3 linked regions of the Ovis aries genome follow. The protein of the gene in region 1 purifies or fractionates together with the protein of each later gene. This does not show direct contact. Links are inferred from orthologs where the notes say so. Each region holds a gene or a part of one and is shown in the gene's direction. Other genes may lie near its edges. The genes, in order: ILK, SDF4 and CCT8.

Region 1 (3,746 bases):
TAGGAAGATTTTTGAAAATAAGAGTGACATGATCACACATGTGTGTATTAAAGATGCCTCCAGTTGCAGTGTAAAGAACCGAAAGAAAAAAAAAAAAAACACTGAAAGAGACAAGCTGCAGACAGAGGCCAGTGGCGGGGATTACAGCAGTGGGTCGAGGGGTTGAAGAGGAGAGAATAAAGCAGGCAGATTTCATGTCACAGGCTGACTGAAGGACAGAAAGAGCCTGAGCAAGTGCAGCAGCCCTCACATCGGCAGAGGCTTAAAGGAGGACTACTGTCTGGGAGGCCGTTCTGGACTAAGTCCCACTGGACGGATCCCTCATCCTGGAGACTCTCAGTACTCCCTCAGCTCCAGCTCCCTTTGAACAGCGGCACTGACAGCCCTCGTTGCCATTCAGTTTTGCTCTTTTCAATCTCCACACGGCAACCAGTGACATTTTCAAAACGCAAATCTGAAGAAATCATCCCCCTGCTAAAACACTCCATTGGCTTCTATCTTTAACGTGCAAATATTCTAACGTAGCCCTCCAATTTCTACCACACTGCCTCTCATTCTGTGTCATGCTCCCTTGACCCGGGTCTCTCCACATGCCTTTCCTTCCAAGAAACCCTCTTTGCTTCACTAACTTCTACTCACCAATTCTCTCTCAGTTCCAACGTCACTTTCTTTTGGAAGTTCCGGATCTGGGGAGGCTGCAAGCGGCCCCCCTCCCCCTAATTACACACGCGGCGCGCCCCAGCTCCGGAATCCAGCAGTCTGTTCTGAGTACTCCTGCAGGGCCACTCACCTTGATTTGAGAGGTTGCCGTGGGCCGAAGCCCTAAGGCTACAGACCCGAGGTCCGCGACTACAGGGGCCTCCTCGGCCCACTCCGGCTCCTCGAACATGGGGCTGGGGAGCGCAAGGTTGCGGGATCCACCCGCTTCTCCACGTGCAGACCACGTCTCTAAGAATCAGACCGCTCAGAGACGCCGGAACAGGGCAGGAAACCAAAGAGTGAGAGCTGAAGTGGCTAGAGCAGCCGGCGCAGTGCCGAAAACCATCGAGTTTAGACACTGGTGGGCTAGAAGGGCAAGGAAGGCGGGAGGGAGGGGCCGGGAGAAGGAGGCCCGCGCTGGCCTGAGAGGGCCAGGGGCGGGGCCGGGCGGCGGGCGCGGCCGGACGGGAGTTCCCCGGAGAAGGCTCCTCTAGCCCGAGTCCCGGTGAGTGTGGGGGCACCCGTGCCCCCTCCCCAAGGCTCGAGCTTTACCAGGCGGTCACCCCTCCCTCCACCTACTCGGTTCCGAGTCGGGAACGAGGGCCATCCTCGGCAAGGACCTCCGATCGCCTCCTCCAGGGTATACGGCGCCTAAACTCCCCACCCCCACCCCCCAGCTCTGTTCGCGGGTAGGGTCTCTGTGCTTGCTCTCGTGACATCCCTTCGGAAGACACTACCTCTTCATCAACGCCTACTTCGCCCGATCCGCCTTTCCCTCGCGCTCAAGGGACACAGTCCAGGACCATTCCGCTGCCTCCCTAACTCCTTACAGACATCCAGTAGCTGGGGACGCAGAGCCCAGACCCCCAGCCCAACACCACACTTCTCTCCTGTAGGGGACAAAGCCTGGGGCTCACCCCCCCCCCCCCCAAGATCCTTCTACAGTTCCCACACTTTCCCAGTCTAGGGGACTCTGCCGGGACGCTGCTATGGACGACATTTTCACTCAGTGCCGGGAGGGCAACGCGGTTGCGGTCCGCCTGTGGCTGGACAACACGGAGAACGACCTCAACCAGGGGTGAGCTGGGGTGGCTGGGGGGCGAGAGGAAGGGCAAAGACATGCTCCTCTCCGCTCTGTGGGGTGCTCACTTCTGGTGCGGGCGGCTTACTTTCCTATTCAGTGTGATGAGGATTAAACAGCCTGTCAGCGGGGCAGAGGGTCTCCACACCGGAAGCTGTTGTTTGAGCTGAATCTTGACTGAATAAGAATTTACAGGCAGAATCTGCAGAGTATTCTAACTTCAGTGAACCTCATGGGCAAAAGCTAGGGGGCAAGACACGGAGCAGAGAGTGCCAGAAACTGTCCGGAGCTCCATATGGCTAGAGGAGAGAAAACCGCTGGGCTTCTGTGGGCTAAAGCTCTAAGCACAAGTGCAGAATGACAGAAGTTAAGACTGGAAAGGTCTGCAAGGGTCAGTCAGATCATGCAAGAGTATTTAGGCTATAATAATTTTTTATTGCAAGGGCAAGGGTTTAGAGCCATGTAATGGTACGATGAGATTGTCCATTTGTTAAGTGTCATCTTGGATGCTTTATGAAGAGCAAGTGGTGATGTGAAGAGAGGCAACTAACTGCCTAGTCCATCTCAAGTGGTGATGGCTTAGACTAGAATTGGGACAGGCAAAAAAGAAAAAAGTGATCAAATTCCTGAGATCTTTTGGATAAAGAATTGGTGAGACTTGGTGTGGAAAGTGAGGTCAAAGATGATGATCAGGGTTCTGGCTTGGGTAGATAGTGGTTCCTTTTATTGAGAAGGACAAGGCTGAAGGGTGGTGAGTTCCACTCTGCACACATTTAAGTGACAATAAAGTGGATGTGGAGTGGGCTGCTGGATTTCAGGAGAGATCTGACTTGGAGACAAAGATTTGGGCGATATTAGCATGACTGGAGAAGGCAATGGCACCCCACTCCAGTACTCTCGCTTGGAAAATCCCATGGACGGAGGAGCCTGGTAGGCTGCAGTGCATGGGGTCGCTAAGAGTCGGACACGACTGAGCGACTTCACTTTCACTTTTCATTTTCATGCATTGGAGAAGGAAATGGCAACCCACTCCAGTGTTCTTGCCTGGAGAATCCCAGGGACGGGGGAGCCTGGTGAGCTGGTGTCTATGGGGTCGCACAGAGTCGGACATGACTGAAGCGACTTAGCAGCAGCAGCAGCAGCAGCATGAAGATGGGCTTCCCAGATGGCTCAGCAGTAAAGAATCTACTTGCCAGGGCAGGAGCTGGCAGGAGATGCGGGTTCAACCCCTGGGTCTGGAAGATCCTCTGGAGTAGGAAATGGCAACCCACTCCAGTATTCTTGCCTGAGAAATCCCATGGACAGAGGAGCCTGGAAGGCTGGTCCATGGGGTTGCAAAGTCAGACATGACTAAGCATGTACACGCATGCACACACAGACACACACAGCACGTAGATGGCACCTGAAGAGGTGGATATGAAACCGGATGAGAAACCTAGAAGACCAAACAGGAAAATATGCTGCTGCTGCTAAGTCGCTTCAGTCGTGTCCGACTCTGTGCGACCCCACAGACACCAGCTCACTAGGCTCCCCCGTCCCTGGGATTCTCCAGGCAAGAACACTGGAGTGGGTTGCCATTTCCTTCTCCAACGCATGAAAGTGAAAAGTGAAAGTGAAGTCGCTCAGTCGTGTCCGACTCTTAGCGACCCTATGGACTGCAGCCCACCAGGCTCCTCCATCCATGGGACTTTCCAGGCAAAAGTACTGGAGTAGGCTTAAAGAAGTGAATGTTTCAATGAAAGGAGTGGTCAGTGGTACTCTAGATTGCTAAGAGGTCAAAGAACTTGAGCACTAAAGTGTAACCATTGAATTTACAATTATTTATGTATTTAATGATCTCTGTGAGAGCCGTTTCAGAGGAAAACAAGTGAAAAAAACCAGACTATACTTGGTTCCTTCATTTAAGGAACTATACTGAACACGCACTGGGTGCTAGAAGTCCAGAATCAGGCATAATGCTTGTCCT
Region 2 (3,646 bases), on another chromosome or scaffold:
GGTGGCTGTGGTCACCACCTCCCCGCTTCCTCACCCACCCGCCTCTCTCTCTGCAGCTCCTGGCCACATCTGCAGCCTGTCCCGCATCGCAGACCCTGGCGGCCATGGCCTCCAGGCAGGCTCCCCTCTGTGGCCTGGCTCCTTGCTGCCTCTGGCTCCTGGGTGTTGTCCTTCTGATGAATGCGTCCGCCCGGCCTGCCAACCACTCATCTGCTCGAGAGAGAGCAGGTAATAGGGAGGAAAACGAGATCCTGCCTCCGGACCACCTGAACGGGGTGAAGCTGGAGATGGATGGGCACCTCAACAAAGATTTCCACCAGGAGGTCTTCCTGGGCAAGGACATGGATGACTTTGAGGAGGACGCAGAGCCTCGGAAGAGCCGGAGGAAGCTGATGGTCATCTTCTCCAAGTAGGTGTCACTGGGAGCTGTGGGGGGCATGGGAGTGGCTGGCCTCAGCCCCTCTGTTGGTCCTGCCCTGGTTTTGCACCAAGTCCCCGCTTGGTGCCATGTTGTGGAGGTGGAGCCCTAACACGTGCTCTTGGGAAGTTGGCAGCATTTCAACCATGGATGTGCAGCCCTGAGCTGCGCACTGTGCCCACCCAGGGGTGGGAGTGGGGTTCAGGTCATGGGGAACCCCCCAGGTTGTGGGGAAATGCAGAAACTAGCCTCCAAGGGACTGGATGTCCTGGGGCTGACCAGATGTGCTCCAGCCCCGTCCATCCACACTGTACATTTTTGTTATACATCCTGTGTCTGGCGGGGTTGTTTTGGGGCGAGGGGTGTCTAGCCTGCATTTACCTTCTTGCTGACTCCCCACACACCTGTCTCTCCCACGTGGGGCCCCATGTTTTTGCCATGTGTGAACTGCTGTTTCCTTGCCTGCCCCGCCCGGACCAGAGCAAACAAGAAGCCTCAGGACATAGTTTCGAGCAAGCAGAAGTAATGTTGCCGCAGCACTTCTTAAGCGAGGTTTTTATTTTGGGAGCAGTTTTAGATTTACAGAAAAGTTGCAAACCGAGGCACATTTGTGGAAACTAAAACACGGTAGCGCTCCGTTACTGTTCCCGGTACTCCAGGCTTCAGGTCACATGCTGCCCCAGGGTCCTCTTTCTGCCCTGGATCCCATCCAGGATCCTACCTTTTCGTGGCCTTGACACCTACGAGGAGGACTCCTCAGGTGTTTGTAGCATGTTCCTGATTTGGGGTTTGTCTGCCGTGTTTTCTCCTAGTTGGACAGGGGTTGTGGGTTTTTGGAAAGAAGACCCCAGAAGTGAGGTGGCCCTCTTGTCACATCACATCAGGGCACCTGATGTTTGCATGACATCATGGGGGCTGTATGCCTGGTCACATGGCTCAGGTGGTATCTGCCAAGGAGAGTTGCAGTCTCTTTGGCAGTCTCTGGTCTCTTTGGCAGCCACTCAGGGAGAGGCAGCCCACCCTGCTGGGGGTGGGAGCTAAGCTCAGGGAAGACCCACCGTGTAGTCTGGAATTCCATGAGGAGGACGGACTTGTGGGTGTGTGTCTGCACTCTGGAGGGGACCCAGCTCTGTGCTGTTTGTCTGGCTACTTCCCTGTTCCAGCCTTGGCTGCTCATCCGTTCCATCCTTGGCCACCAGGACATCATCAACCCCCAGCTCCTTGTTTTAAGCACTTCCTCCCTTCCTCGCACTGCCAGCCACTCCAGCTTCACTTACTCATGTAATGTTCCTGCCGCAGTTCTCCAAGGAGCGCTAGTTTATTTCATTGGAGAGTGAGATTTAGAGATGAAGAACCAGGCAGTGGGTGTGGGCATTGCTGCTGGGGTGTCATTGCTTGTAGTCCTCTCCATGGACTTGATAACATATCTGTGCATGCTAACCTGTGTGTACATTTGTGTGCACCAAGTCACACATGCGTGTGTGTTCTGAGCCACATCCATGGGTGTGCATTAGCCATATACACACTCACATGTGCACATCTCTCAACACACCTGCATCTACAGCTGTTTCTTTGTCTTGCTGGCTGTATCTGTGTGTCAACTTGCCTTTCCCCTGGTGTCTGAAATCCAGTCCTGTTATTGGGGCTCACTGGGCTTGCGTCCCAAGTGTGTGGTCCGAAGAACTGGGTTGATGATGCGCCCCATCCTGTAGCAAGGTGGTCCCAAGACTGATGGTATAGGGCCAGGCGCACTGCCCAGCGTGCTCCCTGATTCCCCCGTATCTACTCAGCTTTTCCTGTGTGCCCTTCGGGTGGGATGTGTTACTGTTGGTGGTGGTTTCATTCTTCCTGTGGAGCCCCTCTGGCCATCCTTCTGTCTGTCGGGGTCCTGGAGGCTTCGTCTGACGCAGCCTGTGGGCCCGCAGGGTGGATTTGAACACCGACAGGAGGATCAGCGCCAAGGAGATGCAGAAATGGATCATGCAGAAAACAGCTGAGCACTTCCAGGAGGCTGTTGCAGAGAGCAGGGCACACTTCCGAGCTGTGGACCCTGATGGTGACGGTATGGCCAGCCCATGACCTGACCCTGAGGGGCCTGAGGCTGCCGGCAGAGGACAGCTCATGGGCAGGAGTAGGGCTCCAGGATGAGGGAGGGTGGGGGGTGCCACTGGCTGTGCAGATGAGGATCTGCACGGCTGGGCTCAGGGATGAAACTTGAAGCTGGTGCTTTGCTGCTTCTGCCTCTATAGCTGCCCGTGGCACAAAGATTTTTGACCGATGGCTTAAAATAACTAAAATTCTCTTTTTAAAAAAGGTTCCTTGTTAAAGCTCCTAACAGGTTGGTCTGCTCTTTCAGGCCACGTATCTTGGGATGAGTACAAGGTGAAGTTTTTGGCAACCAAAGGCCACAATGAGAGAGAAGTTGCTGAAAAGATAAAGAATAAGTGGGACCTGAACATCGATGAGGAGAGTGAGTGCTTAGCTCCCACGGCTGGCGTAGCACCGAGACAGTTCAGGTGCTGGGCGGGGCATGGGTGAGACGTGGCCACAGCCTGTGTTCCTGCAGGCCCTTGAGACAGAGCCTCCAGGACCCTAAGGCACGTTGCAGGGGAGGCGCAGGGACAGACGGCAGCCTCTAGTGGCTTGAGCTCTGGGGAGGAGGTGGCAGATGGTACCAGAGCACTGGGAAGTGGGTCTCGGCTGGGACTGGTCCTCAACCCTGGATGAGGTCTGATCCTGAGAGTCAGTGAGGTCATGGGGGCGCTTGCCGATGGTGCCTGGCGACCGTGCTACTGAGTGTGGCGACAGATGTAATTCTCCCCTTAGCTTTTCAGAGAAGTTCCTCTAAAAACCTGTCTCACTGATACACAATTTGATGCCTGTTAGCTGAGTTCTGAAGCATCACTGAAGTGTTGTTAGGACGTTTAGTGATTGCTGTCTTCAGCTCTGCCCTCCCATCCCTCCCTCGGGGTTTGTTCTCAGCCAGGTGTCGGGTTCGGCTCGATGGGCATTGTCAGAGCGTAGCACGCCATCTGTGGTCTCCCGTTCGGTCTTTCCTCGGCACGTCATCCCCGCCGTTGTCATCAGTGTGTTGTCATCTCTTGATGGACTTGCTCCAGCTGTTCCTGAGGCATTCCCCGTTTGTCTCGTGCCCGCCTGGCCGTCGGGATTGAGTGCATCGTGGCCTCCTGCGGGTGCCCGTGGCCCTGCCTGCCTCTGCTTTGGGAG
Region 3 (3,746 bases), on another chromosome or scaffold:
TAGAGATGCCTCGCAAAAATATTTTTTCATAATTATGCACTTAAGTGCTAATTAGAAAAAGTTATAGTACATGTAACACATTTGATTATTCCTTAAGACACACTAAATCTGTCCCGATTTAAGGAAAATAAATCATTTGCAAGTGTCTGACCAAGGAACAAAAGACAAGCCAAACGTTCTATTCAGTTGTCTATATTTTCTACTAGGAGAGTGGATTACTTTCACTGTGTGAAATTATTCTTTGAAGTATTCTGCCATTATTCAGTCTTTTGAAATCAGTCATGTGCTGATGTGGGATGACACAGAGGTCAGGTTTTAAAGGACTGTGGGAAAGTAAAAGGGGTTTATATTTCCAAGAAAAAGCAGGAAAGGGATTTTCCAGGTGTTCCAGTGGTTAAGACATCATGCTTCCACTGCAGGGGGGCGGGGTTCCACTCCTGGCGGGGGAAATAAGATCTCACATGCTTGTGGGGCGGCCAAAAAACAGAAGAAAAAAGAAAAGGAGGAAAGAGGAATACAGTTGCCTAACAACGTGCATTTTGCAATCTAATCTGGGTAGAAATCCTAGTTTTAACACTACTAGCGCTGTGATCTTGTACAAACTAAATTGTAAATTGCAAAGTAATTAATAAAAGATTGACCACTAGCTAAGATACCGCACATAAAGCAAATAACGGGGCCTGGCACATATGAGCACTCAGTACGTAGTTTTCCTTTCAGATTTTCATTTATCACCTTCAAGTCCCCAGAGCTGCTACAGGGCCCAAGTCTGAGCGCAAGTTCAACCACAGATTTGGAGGATGAAGGCAGATCCTCGGCCTCGGGAAAAAAGGGGTGCCCACCTGGCTGATATCGTGGGAAGCTCTGGAAGATTTACACGGAAGCTACTCTTGGAAGGAGTTGCAAAACTCAAGGACAAAACTGACAACATTCAAAAGTCCCCAGCACAGAGCCTATGAGTCTAAGCGAAGGGAACGACCTCCGGGAGCGAGCCACATCCGCCAGGCAGCCTACGCGTGCGTCGGCAGGAAGACAGAAGGCCCAGCCCGATCGAGCCACCCCATCGATCGACCAGCTCGAGAATCGTCAACTCAGTTCTGGCGGCGCTAACTGCTCCTTCTCGCGAGGCTTCACAGACTAGGCCGCCGGGGGAAAGGGCGGGACCGGCTGAAGAGAAAGGAGGGGCGTGAGCCGGCCGCACGCTACGTTCCCAGGAAGCTGTGCGCGCCTCTCGTTTCTTCCAGGATCTCCTGAGAGGGCGCGTGAACGGCACCCTGCAGACTGGTCATGGCCCTCCACGTCCCCAAGGCCCCGGGCTTTGCCCAGATGCTCAAGGAGGGAGCGAAGGTAAGAAAAGGAGGAAGAGGGAGTGAGGTGGGAGAGCCGCGGCGGCCGCAGTCAAGAAGAAAAGCCTACCAACGGGCCCGGCGTGCCCACCCGACATAGCGGTCGGAGGGAAAGAAGATTCCAGAAACGGAGGTGTTCTCTGGAGAGCTTGGCCGCGGAGGGCCCCGGGCATTTCGAGTTTTTTTTTTTAAATGAACCCGGGAGAGGGGGGCAAGCGGCCAGAAACGGCGAGTGGACGACGAGGCCGCAGGCGGCGCGTTTTTTGCTTTGTAGCCTTACAGGGTGTGAAGGCCGCTCTTTGCATTTTTCCTCCGTCAGTAAAACGGGAGTGAGGAGGCTCTCCTTTGAGGGGCGCGAAGTAGGTGAAATAACGTAGGTGAGGTTGCTTTGAGTACTGCGAAACGGTTCCAGGAGCGGGTGGTCCAGGGAGGAGAGGGACGAGGCAACTCTTGCAAATGAGAAACGGCGAGCTCCCCATTTAGTTAGCAGAAATAGTGCATTATAGGATAAATCTTAGTTACAATCCCAATGGGCTCTGTTCTGAACTTAGCCAGCTTGAGGTAAAACTTAATCCTCTGGGTCTTACTTTCCTCATCTTTCAGTTGGGGAGATTGGACGGAAATAGTTGTAACCAACAGAGTAAGTGACACCCTGAGCTAAGTAAAGCTTTTGTTTTATGGCGAGATCTTGAAAGTAATTTCAACAGCATGGTTTTTTGTTTGTTTTTTTAATGTCTTAGACACACTGCTGTAAGTGTGTCTCTTAGGTTCAAATAGTTGCGTTCCCTTATTGTCACCCAGACTTGCTGTGCTTAAACGAATGTAGATACTGTGGTTCCATTTGTGGTAACAGTTTGAGGGAACTAGGTTTCTTGTTGGCGAGGATGCACTTTGGGGATAACGTGACTCTAGTAGGTAAGGAGGTTTACTGTAAGTATTGGTGAAAGAGCTTTGCTGAAAATGACATGAACTAATTTTTTTTTAAAAGGGAAGTGGCCGTATTTTTTTTATTCTGAGGCAGAAATAAGTGACCAAATAAGCAGAAGGATAATTTCAAATAATGATAAAGGAAATTGAAAGTGCGCCTCTAAAAAAAAATTATAAAGGAAAGTTTGGGGTAGAACAGTAAATAAAATGTTAAGGAAAGAACTCAGCTCTGTGCTTAGTGGCCAAGATTAAAGGCAGAAATGTTTCAGGCTAAGGGACCAAACTCACTGAGGATGAAGTGAGTTTGACTTGTTAAAACAGTAAGAAAAAAGATGTTCACATGAACAGTAGGCTCTTGAAATTTATCTGAGACTCACAAGTAAATCCCATGTCTAAAAGAAGTTCATTGTAAAACTTGAAAATTTGAGTACTGTGAGCAGTTCAGTTTTCAGTGTATACACGTTGGAATTAATGTGTACAAACGAACAGTTTGTTTCAGTTCAAATGAGAATTCAAAATCTGTATGCTTTAGTTCTAAAAATGTATAAGGCAAATATGTTAATTCCCTTTGAACATAGACCTGTTGACTCTACAGTGCTCAGGTTTTATCACATTCATACCACATTTCGGCTTTTAGAAAGAATTGGTAGACTCTGGAAAGGTATTTTTATAATCTGCAATGGTTCATATGCTTTCTCTAATCAGGCTTAGCACTCTTCTCTGCACTTTTCACTAAACTAAAAAAAATTAAGCTTTATGTTTTGATGTGTAAGTAGGTACTCATGGTCCCTAAAAATGTCATGCCTTATTCATTCAACTTGTGGACAAATCTGTGAATTAGGATGGTATCTGGTATCATAGGAACACCAAACACCATGCTTTACATACATAAATCTCATTTGATAATGTCAACAGTCTTTTGAGACAGGTACTATTATTTTACAGATGAAGAAATTATTGAGATTCATTGTCCTGCCTAATCAGAAATTTTCTTCTACAGCATTTTTCAGGATTAGAAGAGGCTGTGTACAGGAACATACAGGCTTGCAAAGAGCTGGCCCAAACAACTCGTACAGCATATGGACCAAATGGTAATTTCTAAATTCATGTTTAAAAAAAAATACAGTACTATAATATAATTTTGTGTAGTAGTTCTTTGAAACTTGTTTGAGGATATTATATGTAAATTGAGAATTTTAGCCATAATACACTGTAGTGTTGAAAATCATTTCACAGTTCAGTAACTCCTGTACAGTTTTCCTAATCTTTAATCAGCAGTTTGGATCTTTTTAGAAAAGTTGTAATCAAAATGTTACTTTTTGTCCTATTGAGAGGATAGAAAAGTTATGGTGCTTTCACCTTTGAGGTAGTACCATTGTTACAGCTGTGGAATAGTTCTCTTAAGTAAAATGACATAATTTAAGGGAGAAAAATTCTCTCTTGCTTCCCATCAACTGAATTAATTGATACAAA

The links.
Region 2: the proteins of ILK (region 1) and SDF4 purify together in Homo sapiens (affinity purification with mass spectrometry; 3 studies listed by BioGRID and IntAct, with this or other methods). This does not show direct contact. The link is inferred for Ovis aries from reciprocal best matches to the Homo sapiens genes ILK and SDF4.
Region 3: the proteins of ILK (region 1) and CCT8 purify together in Homo sapiens (affinity purification with mass spectrometry; 4 studies listed by BioGRID and IntAct, with this or other methods). This does not show direct contact. The link is inferred for Ovis aries from reciprocal best matches to the Homo sapiens genes ILK and CCT8.

What each region holds. Positions count from the first base shown.
Region 1 is NC_056068.1:46,202,923-46,206,668, reverse strand, and holds the start of ILK (integrin-linked protein kinase), read left to right. Parts: upstream 1-1,151; 5' UTR 1,152-1,339; intron 1,340-1,661; exon of another isoform or gene 1,662-1,666; 5' UTR 1,667-1,688; coding exon 1,689-1,777; intron 1,778-3,585; exon of another isoform or gene 3,586-3,746. Other genes in the region: RRP8 (ribosomal RNA-processing protein 8), read right to left, coding at 791-889. UniProt on the Homo sapiens protein: Scaffold protein which mediates protein-protein interactions during a range of cellular events including focal adhesion assembly, cell adhesion and cell migration.
Region 2 is NC_056065.1:50,591,729-50,595,374, forward strand, and holds part of SDF4 (45 kDa calcium-binding protein), read left to right. Parts: intron 1-56; 5' UTR 57-104; coding exon 105-409; intron 410-2,343; coding exon 2,344-2,480; intron 2,481-2,774; coding exon 2,775-2,888; intron 2,889-3,646. UniProt on the Homo sapiens protein: May regulate calcium-dependent activities in the endoplasmic reticulum lumen or post-ER compartment. Isoform 5 may be involved in the exocytosis of zymogens by pancreatic acini.
Region 3 is NC_056054.1:127,699,010-127,702,755, forward strand, and holds the start of CCT8 (T-complex protein 1 subunit theta), read left to right. Parts: upstream 1-1,228; 5' UTR 1,229-1,287; coding exon 1,288-1,347; intron 1,348-3,273; coding exon 3,274-3,364; intron 3,365-3,746. UniProt on the Homo sapiens protein: Component of the chaperonin-containing T-complex (TRiC), a molecular chaperone complex that assists the folding of actin, tubulin and other proteins upon ATP hydrolysis.